Linked DNA regions of Drosophila melanogaster. The protein of the gene in region 1 interacts with the protein of each later gene in a pairwise test. Each region holds a gene or a part of one and is shown on either strand. Other genes may lie near its edges.

The links. Proteins that work in one complex are often made in the same cells at the same time.
Region 2: the proteins of synr (region 1) and Cpr64Ad interact in a two-hybrid assay, tested with the Drosophila melanogaster proteins (one large-scale study listed by BioGRID).

The regions. Positions count from the first base shown.
Region 1 is NT_033779.5:4,939,074-4,946,864, forward strand, and holds synr (sayonara), read left to right. Parts: upstream 1-3,668; 5' UTR 3,669-3,778; coding exon 3,779-3,871; intron 3,872-3,937; coding exon 3,938-4,207; intron 4,208-4,274; coding exon 4,275-4,675; intron 4,676-4,729; coding exon 4,730-4,915; intron 4,916-4,974; coding exon 4,975-5,161; 3' UTR 5,162-5,227; downstream 5,228-7,791. Other genes in the region: Sgs1 (salivary gland secretion 1), read left to right, coding at 1-2,293; mRpL24 (mitochondrial ribosomal protein L24), read right to left, coding at 5,228-5,343, 5,402-5,791, 5,854-6,007, 6,119-6,202; betaggt-I (beta subunit of type I geranylgeranyl transferase), read left to right, coding at 6,831-6,940, 6,998-7,148.
Region 2 is NT_037436.4:4,212,435-4,219,591, forward strand, and holds Cpr64Ad (cuticular protein 64Ad), read left to right. Parts: upstream 1-2,944; 5' UTR 2,945-3,015; coding exon 3,016-3,030; intron 3,031-3,105; coding exon 3,106-3,834; 3' UTR 3,835-3,980; downstream 3,981-7,157. Other genes in the region: CG43367 (uncharacterized protein), read left to right, coding at 4,150-4,293, 4,357-4,744, 4,803-4,971, 5,036-5,160, 5,223-5,530, 5,588-5,868, 5,930-6,281, 6,334-6,911; Cpr64Ac (cuticular protein 64Ac), read right to left, coding at 1-365, 428-439.

The sequences.
Region 1 (7,791 bases):
AACGACAACTACTCCTAGATCCACAACAACACCTTCCACAAGTCGCCCAACGACAACTACTCCTAGATCCACAACAACAACTTGCACTTGTTCCCCAACGACAACTACTCCTAGATCCACAACAACAACTTCCACAAGTCGCCCAACGACAACTACTCCTAGATCCACAACAACAACTACCACAAGTCGCCCAACGACAACTACTCCTAGATCCACAACAACAACTTCCACAAGTGGCCCAACGACAACTACTCCTAGATCCACAACAACAACTTCCACAAGTGGCCCAACGACAACTACTCCTAGATCCACAACAACAACTTCCACAAGTGGCCCAACGACAACTACTCCTAGATCCACAACAACAACTTCCACAAGTGGCCCAACGACAACTACTCCTAGATCCACAACAACAACTTCCACAAGTGGCCCAACGACAACTACTCCTAGATCCACAACAACAACTTCCACAAGTGGCCCAACGACAACTACTCCTAGATCCACAACAACAACTTCCACAAGTGGCCCAACGACAACTACTCCTAGATCCACAACAACAACTTCCACAAGTGGCCCAACGACAACTACTCCTAGATCCACAACAACAACTTCCACAAGTGGCCCAACGACAACTACTCCTAGATCCACAACAACAACTTCCACAAGTGGCCCAACGACAACTACTCCTAGATCCACAACAACAACTTCCACAAGTGGCCCAACGACAACTACTCCTAGATCCACAACAACAACTTCCACAAGTGGCCCAACGACAACTACTCCTAGATCCACAACAACAACTTCCACAAGTGGCCCAACGACAACTACTCCTAGATCCACAACAACAACTTCCACAAGTGGCCCAACGACAACTACTCCTAGATCCACAACAACAACTTCCACAAGTGGCCCAACGACAACTACTCCTAGATCCACAACAACAACTTCCACAAGTGGCCCAACGACAACTACTCCTAGATCCACAACAACAACTTCCACAAGTGGCCCAACGACAACTACTCCTAGATCCACAACAACAACTTCCACAAGTGGCCCAACGACAACTACTCCTAGATCCACAACAACAACTTCCACAAGTGGCCCAACGACAACTACTCCTAGATCCACAACAACAACTTCCACAAGTGGCCCAACGACAACTACTCCTAGATCCACAACAACAACTTCCACAAGTTGCCCAACGACAACTACTCCTAGATCCACAACAACAACTTGCACAAGTGGCCCAACGACAACTACTCCTAGATCCACAACAACAACTTGCACAAGTTGCCCAACGACAACTACTCCTAGATCCACAACAACAACTTGCACAAGTTGCCCAACGACAACTACTCCTAGATCCACAACAACAACTTGCACAAGTGGCCCAACGACAACTACTCCTAGATCCACAACAAAAACCTCCACTTGTGCCCCAACGACAACTACTCCTAGATCCACAACAACAACTTCCACAAGTCGCCCAACGACAACTACTCCTAGATCCACAACAACAACTACCACAAGTCGCCCAACGACGACTACTCCTAGATCCACAACAACACCTTCCACAAGTCGCCCAACCACAACTACTCCTAGATCCACAACAACTACTTCCACAAGTCGCCCAACGACAACTACTCCTAGATCCACAACAAAAACTTCCACTTGTGCCCCAACGACAACTACTCCTAGATCCACAACAACAACTACCACAAGTCGCCCAACGACAACTACTCCTAGATCCACAACAACAACTACCACAAGTCGCCCAACGACAACTACTCCTAGATCCACAACAACACCTTGCACAAGTCGCCCAACCACAACTACTCCTAGATCCACAACAACAACTACCACAAGTCGCCCAACGACAACTACTCCTAGATCCACAACAACACCTTGTCCAACTACAACACCATCTGCAAGTCCTACAAGAACAACAACAACCCGTCGTCCTTGCCCTTGCCATCCCCAGCCTCCTTACCAGATTCCTCCTTGGTCATGGTGGTATCCGAACCCGACCTACCCCAATCCCGTGTGGCCCTGGCAACCTAACCCAGTCGTTCCTCAATGGCCACAGATGCCCGGATATCCAAATCAGTGGCCACAATTACCAGGTTATCCCCAGCAATTACCACCGCCGTTGCCATCACCTCAGTGGCCGTGGTCTTGGCCAAAACCACCAGTAGTTCAACCTGGCGACTGTGAAAACATATGCGAAAACCTACTGAAGGGAGTAAAATATCAAGAAGATCTCATCAGAAGGTGCTTGTGCACACGAACATAATCCTTTAAAAAAGAATCACGTAATTGTTTTATTAAAATGTTGTCTATTTAAAAAAATAACTTAAAACAAAGTTTTGATGGTTAAAAATATCGAACGGGTATGGTATGGATGTAGGTTTGATGATATTGAATGGCAAGTCTATCCTTCAGAAGTGGGAGGAAGGATTATGGATGTCACAATGGCGCATGCGCCTATATGGTTTTTGGATTCCCATGTTTTGCTTAACACTTTCGTCCCTGAGAAGCTCAGAAAGCTTGGGCGCCATTCATCAACAAGTTTGCATTCGGACTTCAGCACTCTAATCGACACTTGACTACATTATTACTTATTTAAACGCAATCATTTGACCCATTATTTTCCGACGCCTTTGCGTTTGGTTGCACTGCATTGCTCATGCGACATATGGTCGCACTATATGTTTGGAGCACACATTCGGACAAGTTTAATGACCAATTGCCAAGGGATTGGAGAACTCACTGCTCTTCGAATTAGGTTAGCACATTAGCTGGTTAAGGACAAACGTGGATTGAAGTTAGGATGGGGAGAGAAACAGGAAAACTTAACGAGTTCTAGCATATGATAATGTGTACAGCCATAAACTTATAGCTAACATCGTAATCCGTGCACAAGCTATTAAAAACTTCAAGAAGATATGTCCCTAAATTTTTCCAATAGTAATAAATATATAACCAAATTTACTCTCTCTGTAGGGCATACTACAATCCTAATAAGCTATAAACACTCCAGAGCAGAGCCTCTAATTTGCTGGTAATTTATCAAAATCTAGATTATAATCCTGCTGATGGATTATGTTTCGGGTCGATTAGTACCCCAGTTATAGGACTACTAGAGTTCGTCCTTCGTTCAGCTGAGCTTGCACATTTCCTACACAATAAGCAGATGTTAATGGCTCCCTTCTTTGTTGTTTTTGTTAACTTGTTAATACAAATACACCGTGTGCCAATTCACAAATCCAACAAGGTATAGTGGACATGCCAACAAAAAAGCTAGCAAAGCAAATAACACATTGTTGACAAACAGCGGGCTATTGGGGTGAACCTTCAAAAATCTATTGAACAAAAGTATTACTCGTCATATGTATTGTAGCATTTTAATTAAGGAAACATGTATTTTAATCAATATAACTTAAACTTAAAGATAGTAATGGTTGCACATGTCGTATGCGCAATTTTCATGAAGAGTGGTCCGCTCTAAAGGACACATACGTGGTAACAAGGGGGCTACGCTGGCCCCTGTCCCCACCTCCCGAAATGGTTTGTGGGTGGATTTGGTGTGGCCCTGTCCAATGGCTAGCGCGCAAAAATAATTTTTGTTATTGTGTTTTCCCTCATAAGTGGACATGACGGACCCAACGAAAGCTCATTCAGCGCTGGACAGGCGAACTGGAAAGGTCTAAGACGGAAGATGTCATCGCCGGCAGAGCGGGCGAACTTCGTGCAGCACTTCGGACAGACAACCTGAGTGATGGGCTGTGGCTCCTCCATGGATACGCAGACGAATCCTGTCGTCACGGAGGTCAGCTCGGAAATGCAACCTCGCCAGAATGGCGCCTCTGGAGTAATAGCACTTGAACAAGTCGTCTTACCTTTGCCATAATCAATACCTCTTCCATTTCGTCATCAGAATGTGGTCGAGCAATATGTGCGCCTGGACGAGCAGATCAGCAAGCTGGAGGGCACATGTCCTGGTCCTCGAATGGCCACCGCCGAGGCCTGGGTGGAGCACATTCAGAGCAAGCACGAGGCGATGCTGGGACTCGATGGCATGGGAGTGTCTCCTTTGCGCGAGAGGGAATGGGAAACCGAGGAGGCCCTGCCCATTCCAGCTTACACAATGGGGGGGCGGCAGGGCGACCCAATTGTGGCCAACACGCCCACCAAGGACCTGGCCCAGGTAAATGGCCTGCCATTAGTGAATGTGATGAACTTCCCTCAAGTATATTATTACCATTCGACTTTAGCTTGCCTACAACCTGGGCGTAATTGGCGATGCCCGCAAGGCTTCCATGCACGAGGATTTCTTCGCCAACCTGAGCGAGTCCGCCATGTATTTGCTTAGCATTCGTTACTACGGCGAGATGTTGGAACACACTAAGGTGCGTCTAAAGACTCTGGCCGAGAGCTATGCAGAGCTGAACGAGCTGTACGTAAAGCAAGACGGGATTATAGCGTATATAAGCGGGGGAACGTACATGACTCGGCTGGAGGAGAGCATTGATGAGCAGCTTGAGACGGCAAGAGATACAAGGGATAAGCTGGGCAGCGCACTGGAGCAGTGGCGCATCTGTGGATTACTACTTAGAGCAGCCGCGAATTCCTCGACGCAGGCATTAAAACAATGGCGACAGCTTGGACGGATAATGTGGGTAAATTAATTCCCCACTTAGAACTTGTTGACATGTTATTTCTCGTTCAGAGATCCCAAGCAAAAGCTTCAGTGGGCGTTGGACTGTCGAAGTCTGTTACACGCCTCCACGATATCCCTAGAGGCGGCTCAGCTGGCTCTGCCGCACGTGGAACTCAAGTACATGAGTCATCGGCAAGTCCTAGCCGTCAAGCACTGCAACACCTACCTAATCACGGATATAGCAAACAAAGCGCGGTAAGTTAATATATAGATTTCTCTAGAATCTTCTACAAAGGGAAACGAATCCCTTTTAGGTACGAGCACACCAGTCGGGTCTTCACCAGTTACGAATCAAACATGTCCAAAACCTGCACGTGGCTCTACGAAACCTTTAACAGCACGCTGCGCCCAGACTACGACAGGGCGGAGGAAACTGTATGCGGGCTGGCCAAGACGCTCCGGGATCATCGCGAGGAGGTCTTCAACACGGTGCGCAAGTGACATTAAACTTATTGCTCAATTATATGGGTATTTTGTACATTACTTTAATAAACAGTAGGCATAACATTAGTACCAATAGCTCTTGACTGGCGTGCGTTCCTCTTTGATGCCCATTTCCTCCATAATGTCCATCTCGAATGTGGACAACTTGGGCTGAAAGGTGATCTCGCCCACAACAGCGCCTGAAAAGGACAGACTTGTATGACTAGGAACATATTGAAATGCGATAATAGCCCATACCTGGCGTATCCTTCTCCCTTTCGATATAGGCGTTTGGTGTTTTATAATCGTGCGTCTGGTTGTTCGTCTCCGGGATGGGTATGATTCGGCCAGATCGCAAGGACACCCGCACTTTCTCGCCCTCCTCCGTGAAACGCCACTCAAAGTCGGTGCCCTGAAGATCCGATGGGTCAACCAGACGAATGTCCTTGGTGACGTGCAAAGGTGCCTCGGACTTGATAATGATACCGGGAAACTCCTTCTCACCGCCAACCTTGCGATAGTGCCAGTTCAGGCCCTCTACAATTACCCAATTGCGCTCGGGTATAACCTGGGTGACAATTCCCTGCTTTCCTTTGTCTTTACCCACAAGGACTTCGATACGATCGCCGCGGAAAAAGCTCCAGTCCTCTGAAAAGGATATACAACCATGTTTTATTAGGTTTTAGAGGTCAAGGCTTCTTATTCCTTACCAATTGGTTCCACTAGCACCTTGCGACGCACGGTTCCGGGCATATTTTGCTGGCGGAACTGACCCGTCCATGAACGATTTGTGGTGTAGCGGAATCTCTTTCGCTCCACGGTACGCGGTAGGTAATTAATCTCCTTCGGAGTTTGCCAGTACACCTGTGTTGAGATGAAAAAAAATATTTTAATAAATGTGAAACATTTTCCATGCGATGTGTTACGTGAGCCGCTGTTCACAAGTTGTTCAATGAAAAAGACTCTTCCTGTTACCTGTTTTTTGCTGCGCTCGATGTATTCCTTGGGCAGATTGGAAAAGTTCTTCAACTTGCTGGCCAAATATTGCGTTAAACGCATTTTGAAAGGTTAATTCAATTATTAATAATAAGAACTAGTAAATTAAATGCGGCTTGCAATCAGCTGTTGAGAACTGAAGAATAGCCATTCACAGGAAGGCCCAACAATTTTATTTATATTTAATGTTTATGCGACTCTAAAGATTATGAACACTTGATGTAGGCTTGTAAAATATTTAAATTAATTATTTTCGAGGTTTAAGAAAATATCTTAGCTTATATATTGTTAAACATTATGATATAGAAATTTAAGAACTAGCAATTATTTCCCCGTGTAAACGTGGTTCGCTGTGACTGGCAAGAAGAGGTAAGAAGAAGCAGCTGCTATTTGTGGACTACTCTTGGTGTTTTATATCGTTCGCCGTAGCCCTAAATTGCAATGCAAACCGGCTTTATATAAACAAAAGGTAAGTGCTAGACCATATAAATGTGGGCACGTGCGGGCGCAACATCATTGGAAGACGGAATCGCAACCGGAGAGCGTCTATTCCGGCCAGCTCAGTCCAACCGTTTGGGAAGGGCCTTTCAACGCTTAGTCATATCCATATCTCAGCGCACACCGAGACAATCCAGTTCCTACCCACCCATAAGTTCCTCATTTAACAAGCAATATGTCCCACCACATAGATATGGAAGACCGCACTGATACGGAGCCCGTGCTGCTCTCCAAGCACGCCAAGAATCTGCTCCGATTCCTTAATCTCCTGCCAGCTCGCATGGCCTCGCACGATAACACCAGGTAAGTGCATCCTGGCCTCGTATTTAACTTTTGGTTAACCATTTCCTTGTCCATCAGGAGCACCATTGTGTTCTTCGCCGTCTGCGGCCTGGATGTGCTAAACTCATTGCATCTGGTGCCGCCACAACTGAGGCAGGACATCATTGACTGGATCTACGGAGGATTGGTAGTGCCACGCGACAACGAGAAAAACTGCGGCGGTTTCATGGTGAGCATAAATTCGCGTCTGTCAGGTGTACAAACAGTCGTTGACAAGCCAAACAGAACCATCTTCCGCTCCCACATCCACTCCCAATCAAGTTCCTTATCTCCATACGTGGCCAGGTAGCAGACACTGCGGCAGACGTTGTCGCATCCCTTACATATTGGTGTTTATTCAGTCAGTTGATATACGAGCATTCGCATTTCCTTCATTGAGAAGCATCCACGAAGTAAATATTTTGAAAGATTCATTTCCAACAAAAAAAGTATGCAATTCTTTATTAGCATTTATGAAGTTTGTTTTTGTTAAAAATATCTAAGAAGCCACGTCTTGTTTCCCCATCATGCATCACATATTTCATGATTCCAGACCCTTTAGTTTAAATTACAAATCTAAATTTTGTTTTTAAATAATTGGATTCTAATGAAAACCCATTAAATTGTTAATTCCAAGGTCAACGCATCTGCTTTACATAAAAAGCAAAACGGCATTACTTCTGTTACGATCTATACTGTTTAAATATGCATAATTGTAGAGGAGTTCTCCATTTGCGCAGCAGCTCGATTTACCATTACCCACCACACCCCACCCACCGACACCTTGAATTTATCGCGCCACGCTTTATCAGCGACGCCAGCAACATGCAAAA
Region 2 (7,157 bases), on another chromosome or scaffold:
TCGGCCAGGGAGTAGCTGCCGTGGACGACTCCGTTGACCAGGGTCTCCTCCTGCTGCTTGGAGTCACCGGTGTGATGATCGGTTACTCCGTACGAGAAGCTGTACTGCGGATTGGGATCGTAGGGCTCGGCAACAGCCACCTTGGCCACAGCGACGGGGGCAGCCAGGACCTTGGGAGCATAGGAGATGGCAGGAGCGGCATACGAGATGGCAGGAGCCGCCAGGAGTTTGGGAGCAGCATAGGAAATGGCAGGAGCAGCAAGCAACTTGGGAGCCGCATAGGTGAGTCCAGGGGCCGAAAGTCCATAGGGATCAATGGGAATGGCCACAACGGCGGACAGGATCAGTCCCAAAACGAACAGAGTCTGGCGAGGAATTCCATGATCAGTTGAGCCAACTAAAAGCTGCACTCCTTTGGCCAACTCACCTGGGCAATCATGGCGAAGGATGTGAGAATGAGGGAGCTCTGGTTTGGATGTGTCTGCACTGCGAGAACTCAGCTCAAATGTGAGATGCATTTTCCGCGTGGTCTTCAGTTTTATATTCGAAACTGGCGGCAGCTGCCAGCGGAAAAAAAAACTGGACAATCTAATGGGCAGAGTGACAATTGCGTCTCATTTGGTGGCTGCCCGATCTCGATCTCGATCTTGCACCCCAGACCTCATCGCTGATGGCGGATTTCGTGTTTCTGGTGCGGATTTCATCATTGGTGCTGGCTTTTCTCAATGGAATAACTGCAGCCGCCGCTGCCGAGGCACACCACTCACCGAAGTCCATTTGAGTCCGTTCAAGAGCGCCGCTCCAAGATACCCAGCTAGTCAGCTACCAGCAACACCAGACTCGTTTTCCGCTGACTCGCTGGCCGATCTGGTTTCATTTTTTCGCCGTTTTTTGGCACATTCTCAGGTTCTCCAGCCAAAATTTGTCTGATGTAATAAGTGCCTCATATTGTGGCAGTTTCAGTTGCAGTTGCCACAAGAACAGTGACAGTGCTTTTTTAGCGATTGTAGGTACCCTTTCAAGAAAAATCTTTAATATCATCAAAGACCTAATGAAAATATGTATTTACTCTCAATTTTCTGAAAATGTATGAAACCAAGATTACAATTGGATATGTAAACACTCATTTGGCGAACATACTTCAATCAATATTTGAATATGTAATTGAAATGCCTGCTGTTAAGTTATGCCGATTATCACTCACACGCCATGTTGTCCAAACGCAAGCAAATTTCGCTTGGTTTGCGTGACGTGCGAGTAATCTTCATAGTAACATACATGTCCAATGTGCCCACCCAAAGTGCAGGGTATAAAAACAAGATCAATCGTTCGCAGCCACTCGTTTAATTAGAAAACGAAAATGGCAAGTTTCGACGGCTTGGTGGAGGGAATGGAATTGGGCGGGACGCAGGCGCAATTACGCACTGGCACACGCATTAACCCCTCGACGATCCGATTTCCACCTGACCAACTGGACCAGCGCCCACATTGCTGAGCCCGGTCACTTAGCCACCGTAATTGCCTCGATCGGGCCAAAAAGCATTTAGCCGGCATTTGGAAGCTCTAACCGCGGCGACCTTGCTCACAATTGGCAGCTAAGTGGCTGTGGTTAGTATTTCATCCACTTTTAATTAATTCTCATCTCAGAGCAGAGTCAAGCGATTGGGCAAGGAACTGCATAAATGGCAGTGGAGCATTCCATTCGCTTTGGCCAAATTGGACGACTGTATATCCATGCTGGTTTCCGGTGGCGACAATCTACGCCGACAACCGTTAGTCAGCTACCACAACCCGACGAGTAATACCACCATTTGGTGCCAACTTTTGGGGCTCTCTCCGCTTCTCCGGATCGCTCAGCGTCTCTCCGAGGTGAATCCGCAGCCAACGAGTCGCAAGGTCGTTGGTTGCATTTAGGAAAAGAGTCACGAACTCAAAACCAGCCACCAGTTACAGCACGAAATCGATGGGGAATCTTTAATCAACCATGGAGTTAGGCAAATTCCAAAAGACCAGAGATTCTTGTTGTTACTGAAGATATTTGTTAGGAAAGCATGTTAAATTTAAAATAAGATTTATCCTTTTCAGCAAAGTCGTTTAGGGGAGGAACTAAAAATCTCCTTATGGAAACATAAACCAAATGCATGGCCATTTATTAGAATAATATCAATATAATTGATGTATCAAATGTTGATAATCTTTCAATAGATTTACAATAGTAATATATGGGTATATAGTATATATATTAGTCTAATCGATATTACTGGGCCACATTGACCCAGTTTCACCTTGTTAAGTGAAACCGAACCCCTTGTGAAAACCCTTATTATGTATAAGTGGTAACTCATTAGCATAAGTAATTGATACCCAATAAGGTGTATAAGAAACTTTCCAATTTATTTGAGACAACCAATTCAAGTAGTACATCAAAATCAGGATCATTACACTCTAAAGATACTTTTTTATCCCAGAGATATATTAATATTAAGTTTTTGAGCTTGAACCCTTGTCAACTCGACGTCATTATGGTAACTTAATTATAAGTTTCGCGCTTTTGGTGTAAAGGAAAATTAAAAGCACTGTCATTGGATGGAACCTGCATGACAATTACCGAAAACTACTGCTCCGAAATATAATCAAATCGCATTCACTTTCGATCCGAACAAGGCAAAAACAGTGGCAAATAAAAATGAAAACTTGGTGTAGCCACCGCAAGACGACTGAAAATTGGAGTACGTGCTGCGAATTTGGATCAAAGCCCGAGACGCAGACGCAGCCAAATGCTGGGTAGGAAGAGGCGGCCCCAAAAAGCGGCGATGGTGATGATGCGGGGGGCAAGGAGCTCGGACAATGGGCTACCATACGCAATTGGTACGCAGTTCCCTCCACGGAGCACCGCATGCAAATTTCGCGAACGCATCTGGGTATAAAAGTCGTGGTTTTTTTGTCCAAGGTATGTCAGTTCATTTTCGATAACCGACGGTGACAATCGCACTAAACCCCCACCCAAGCCTTACAATGAATCCTCTGACGGTAAGTGTTGGTGATGGCTTCGGTGAACCCGTCAGGTCAGGAGACTAAACTGGACTCCATGCATTTTCCTCACAGGTTGTTGCAGTCCTTTCCTCGATGGCCCTCTCGGCTCAGGCTGGTCTGGTTGGCGCTCCTCTGGCCGCCGCTCCTCTGGGTGCTCCTCTGGCTTACTCCGCCCCTCTGGGACCTGCTCCATACTTCGCCCCGGCTGCGTACTCCGCCCCTCTGGGCTACGCGGCTCCTTTGGGATACAACGCCCCTCTGGTGGCGGGACCTGCTCCCCTGGTGTCCAAGACCTACGCTGCCGCTCCTTTCGCCGCTCCCTTCGCTGCTCCAGTTGCCCCAGTTGCTGCTCGCCTGGCTGCCCCAGTCGCCGCTCCTCTCGCTGCCCCAGTTGCTCCAGTAGCCGCTCCCCTGGCTGCTCCAGTTGCTGCTCCCCTGGCTGCTCCAGTTGCTGCTCCCATCGCCACCGAGATCGTGGATGCCCACCCACAGTACAAGTTCGCCTACGATGTCCAGGATACGCTAACCGGTGACTCCAAGACCCAGGAGGAGACTCGTGATGGTGATGTCGTCCGTGGATCCTACTCTCTGATCGAGCCCGATGGTTCCCGTCGTATTGTCAGCTACTACGCCGACTCCATCAACGGTTTCAACGCAGTGGTGCAGAAGGATGTGCCCGTGGCTGTTGCCCCAGTGGCTCCAGTTTTGGCCAAGACCGTGGCTGCTCCAGTGGCTCCAGTTGTGGCTGCTGCCCCCGCTCCAGTCTTCGCCAAGACCCTGGCCGCTCCCATCGTCGCCTAAGTAGAAGGAGGAGAAGTAGGAGTCGTAAAGGAAGTATTGACCGCAATTCGACAAAGGACTTTCATCTGTACATATTCGATTAATCATTGTCGAGCTATTGAATAACTTTCATCGCAAAAACCCAAAATTAAAGAAATTCTGAAAACAAAAGATTGTAGTTTATTGTTTAAAGGCATCCTGGATTACGAGAGTGATATCATATAGAGGCTTAAGAAAATTATTTAAGTATTTTAGCTTTAATATTTATAGGTAATATTTATATGTATCATTCTTTATATTTTAAGGATTACACTTAAAACTTGGTGTTCTTTTTAGGGAAGTGGATGAAGAGTTCTGGAAGCTTTCGCAACATGAGAACGTGGCCAGGATGCGTCTGAAATTGGAGCCTCAGTTATATCCAAATAAACACGAGAATGCCGCCAATCTGCGCGACAATGCGACCAGTGCCTACGACACCAAGTAAGCCCAGCCAGTCCTTAGTAGTGTCCTTCATAATCTGATTTTCAATATCCTTTATCTTAGGGAAATCTCTGAATTTGACTCCACCATCAAGAATGCCGTGGTGCGCGATTTCCTGGCGGATGACGAAAGTTCCCAGCTGGAGGAGGAACTACGTCAACTGATCGACACGCAAGCGCAACAGGATGTGGCGCTGGAGAAGCTAGTCATGTCACAGGACTGTGAGCTGATCACGCTGATGACCAAGGTGAAGGGACGCATTGAGGTTAACCAGAGCGTGTTCACCTTTGTGGACTTGAGCCCGCCAACAGAGGATGGTTCCAAATACGATTTCAGGTTCTCCACCAACAAGATACGTGAGGTTCATCTGCGAAAGTACAATCTGCGCAGGAGTGCTTTGGAAATCTTCCTGGTGGATCAGACTAGCTACTTCCTCAACTTTACGACGAAGGTGAGTTTTTTTTTTGTAAATAAAATGTGATCATTGCAAATGTTCTTATTTCTTTAAGACTCGAAATAAAGTTTTCACAAAAATCGTGGGTCTACCGCTTCCAAACATACTCTACGGCTCGGGAAGATCGCCGGCTGAGCTGCTTAGGGCCTCGGGACTCACACAGAGATGGATCAATCGTGAGATTTCCAACTTTGAATACTTGATGTACCTAAACACAATCGCAGGTAAGCAAATAACATCTGATTATTACATACATTTTTATCAAACTAACGTATTTTACATAACTAGGTCGATCCTACAATGATCTAAGCCAATACCCCGTCTTCCCCTGGATCCTTGCTGATTACACCAGTGACGTGCTGGATCTTACCGATCCAAAATCGTTCCGTGACCTATCCAAACCCATTGGATGCGTAAGTATTACTGAAAATAGAAAAAGGTGATCAGTTACATGACAAACGCATTTCTACCGCAGATAAATCCTAAAAACGAGGCCGAAGTGCGCGGCAAATATGATTCATTCGAGGACCCCTCTGGTGCCATACCAAAGTTTCACTACGGAACCCACTACTCCAACTCGGCCGGCGTGCTCCACTATTTGCTTCGCGTCGAACCGTTCACCTCGCTGCACATTGATCTGCAGAGCGGTCGTTTCGATGTGGCCGATCGACAATTCCACTCGATACCTCAGACGTGGAAGTTGCTAATGGACAATCCCAATGACGTGAAGGAGCTGATCCCCGAGTTCTTTTACTTCCCAGAATTCCTTAAGAACATGAATAAGTAATGCATGTGGTTTTTTACTTTTACTTAGTTAGCCTAATGTTATTTTATGTGCAGATTTGATTTGGGCCACTTACAAATAACCAAAGAAAAGGTGGACGATGTCATATTGCCTGCTTGGGCTACCACGCCGGAGGAGTTCATAGCCATACACCGACGGGCTTTGGAATCGGAGTATGTCAGTCAGCATCTGCACCACTGGATTGATCTGATCTTTGGGTATAAGCAAAAGGGACCCAAGGCAGCTGAGGCTCTAAACGTTTTCTATTATTGCTCCTATGAAGGCGCTGTGGATTTGGACAAGATCACCAACCCTGTAGAACGGGAGGCGGTTGAAGGTGGCTTACACCAAGACTTTTTTTTTTGCTATTTTTATTGACATCCATTCATTTATATTAGGAATGATTAATAACTTTGGCCAAGTGCCTTCACAGCTGCTGCGGGAGCCACATCCACGACGCCTTACTCAGGATGAGACGGCTCTAAAGCTGGTACGTGCTGAGCTCCGAAGGCCGGATCTTACTCAGTTCCTGGACAAGGTGGTGCAGTACTACTGCGAGCTGTCCACGCCCAAGGATCCCATTGTGTACCTGAGTCCACCGCGAAGTCCTCCGCGATCGTTCCTGCAGCTGAGTCCCGATGTTCTAGTCAGCATATCGAAGTCCACCATATTGGGCTGCAATTCGTGGCTATCGTTTGATAAGGATCAGGGATTCCTGCTGGAAATCGATGCCACAACGGCTAATCTAAAGTATGTTTAAAGATTTAGCAAATCGGTCATATTAATGTACATATCTTTAAAGGAACCGCAAGCGGATCTTTGGACCCTTCCACTCGTCACAGCAACCGCATTCACAGCTCTTTGCGGTGAGCACGGATGGTAAGCTGCTCTATGCCGGTGGAATCTGGGATAACTCCTTAAGGGTGTACAATCTGAACAAGGGCAAGGCGGTGGCTTCGGTGACCCGCCACCTGGACATTATCACCTGCATAGCACTGGACAATTGCGGCTCGTACCTGGTCACCGGCTCGCGTGATTGCACCTGTATTGTGTGGAGCATCCAAACAAATCAGCAGGGCGGTGGATCCACTAACAACATTCCAGTTCATGCGCTGACGGGTCAGTCGCACCTACAGGCCATCACCCAGCTGAATACTCAGAATAGCTATTCACCCAAGCCCTTGACGGTGCTCTATGGTCACGACGATGCCATTTCCAGTGTAGCCATCTACACGGAACTGGATCTGGTGGTCTCTGGATCCCTGGATGGAACTGTCAACGTGTACACACTTCAGGAGGGTCAATTTGTTAGAACACTGAAGCCCATTGGATGCACTGAGTCGTGTGTACAAATCTCTTTTGTAACCCTTTCCTATCATGGTAAGTTGATAAATTTATTTAATAATTATTTTTATTTATTTATAATTGGTATTCTTATTCCTTCTTGAGGATAAATTAAATCATACAGTTTGAGGATCATTGTTGTAATGGCCTAAAAGTATGCACCACAATTGTGGCATTGTAGTTTCATACATTTGTTTAGAAATCCATGGTAGCATTTAGGCGTTCACAACAATTTATTTGATGTCGCTAACAACTTTATCAGACTTTGCCTACACCCAAAGT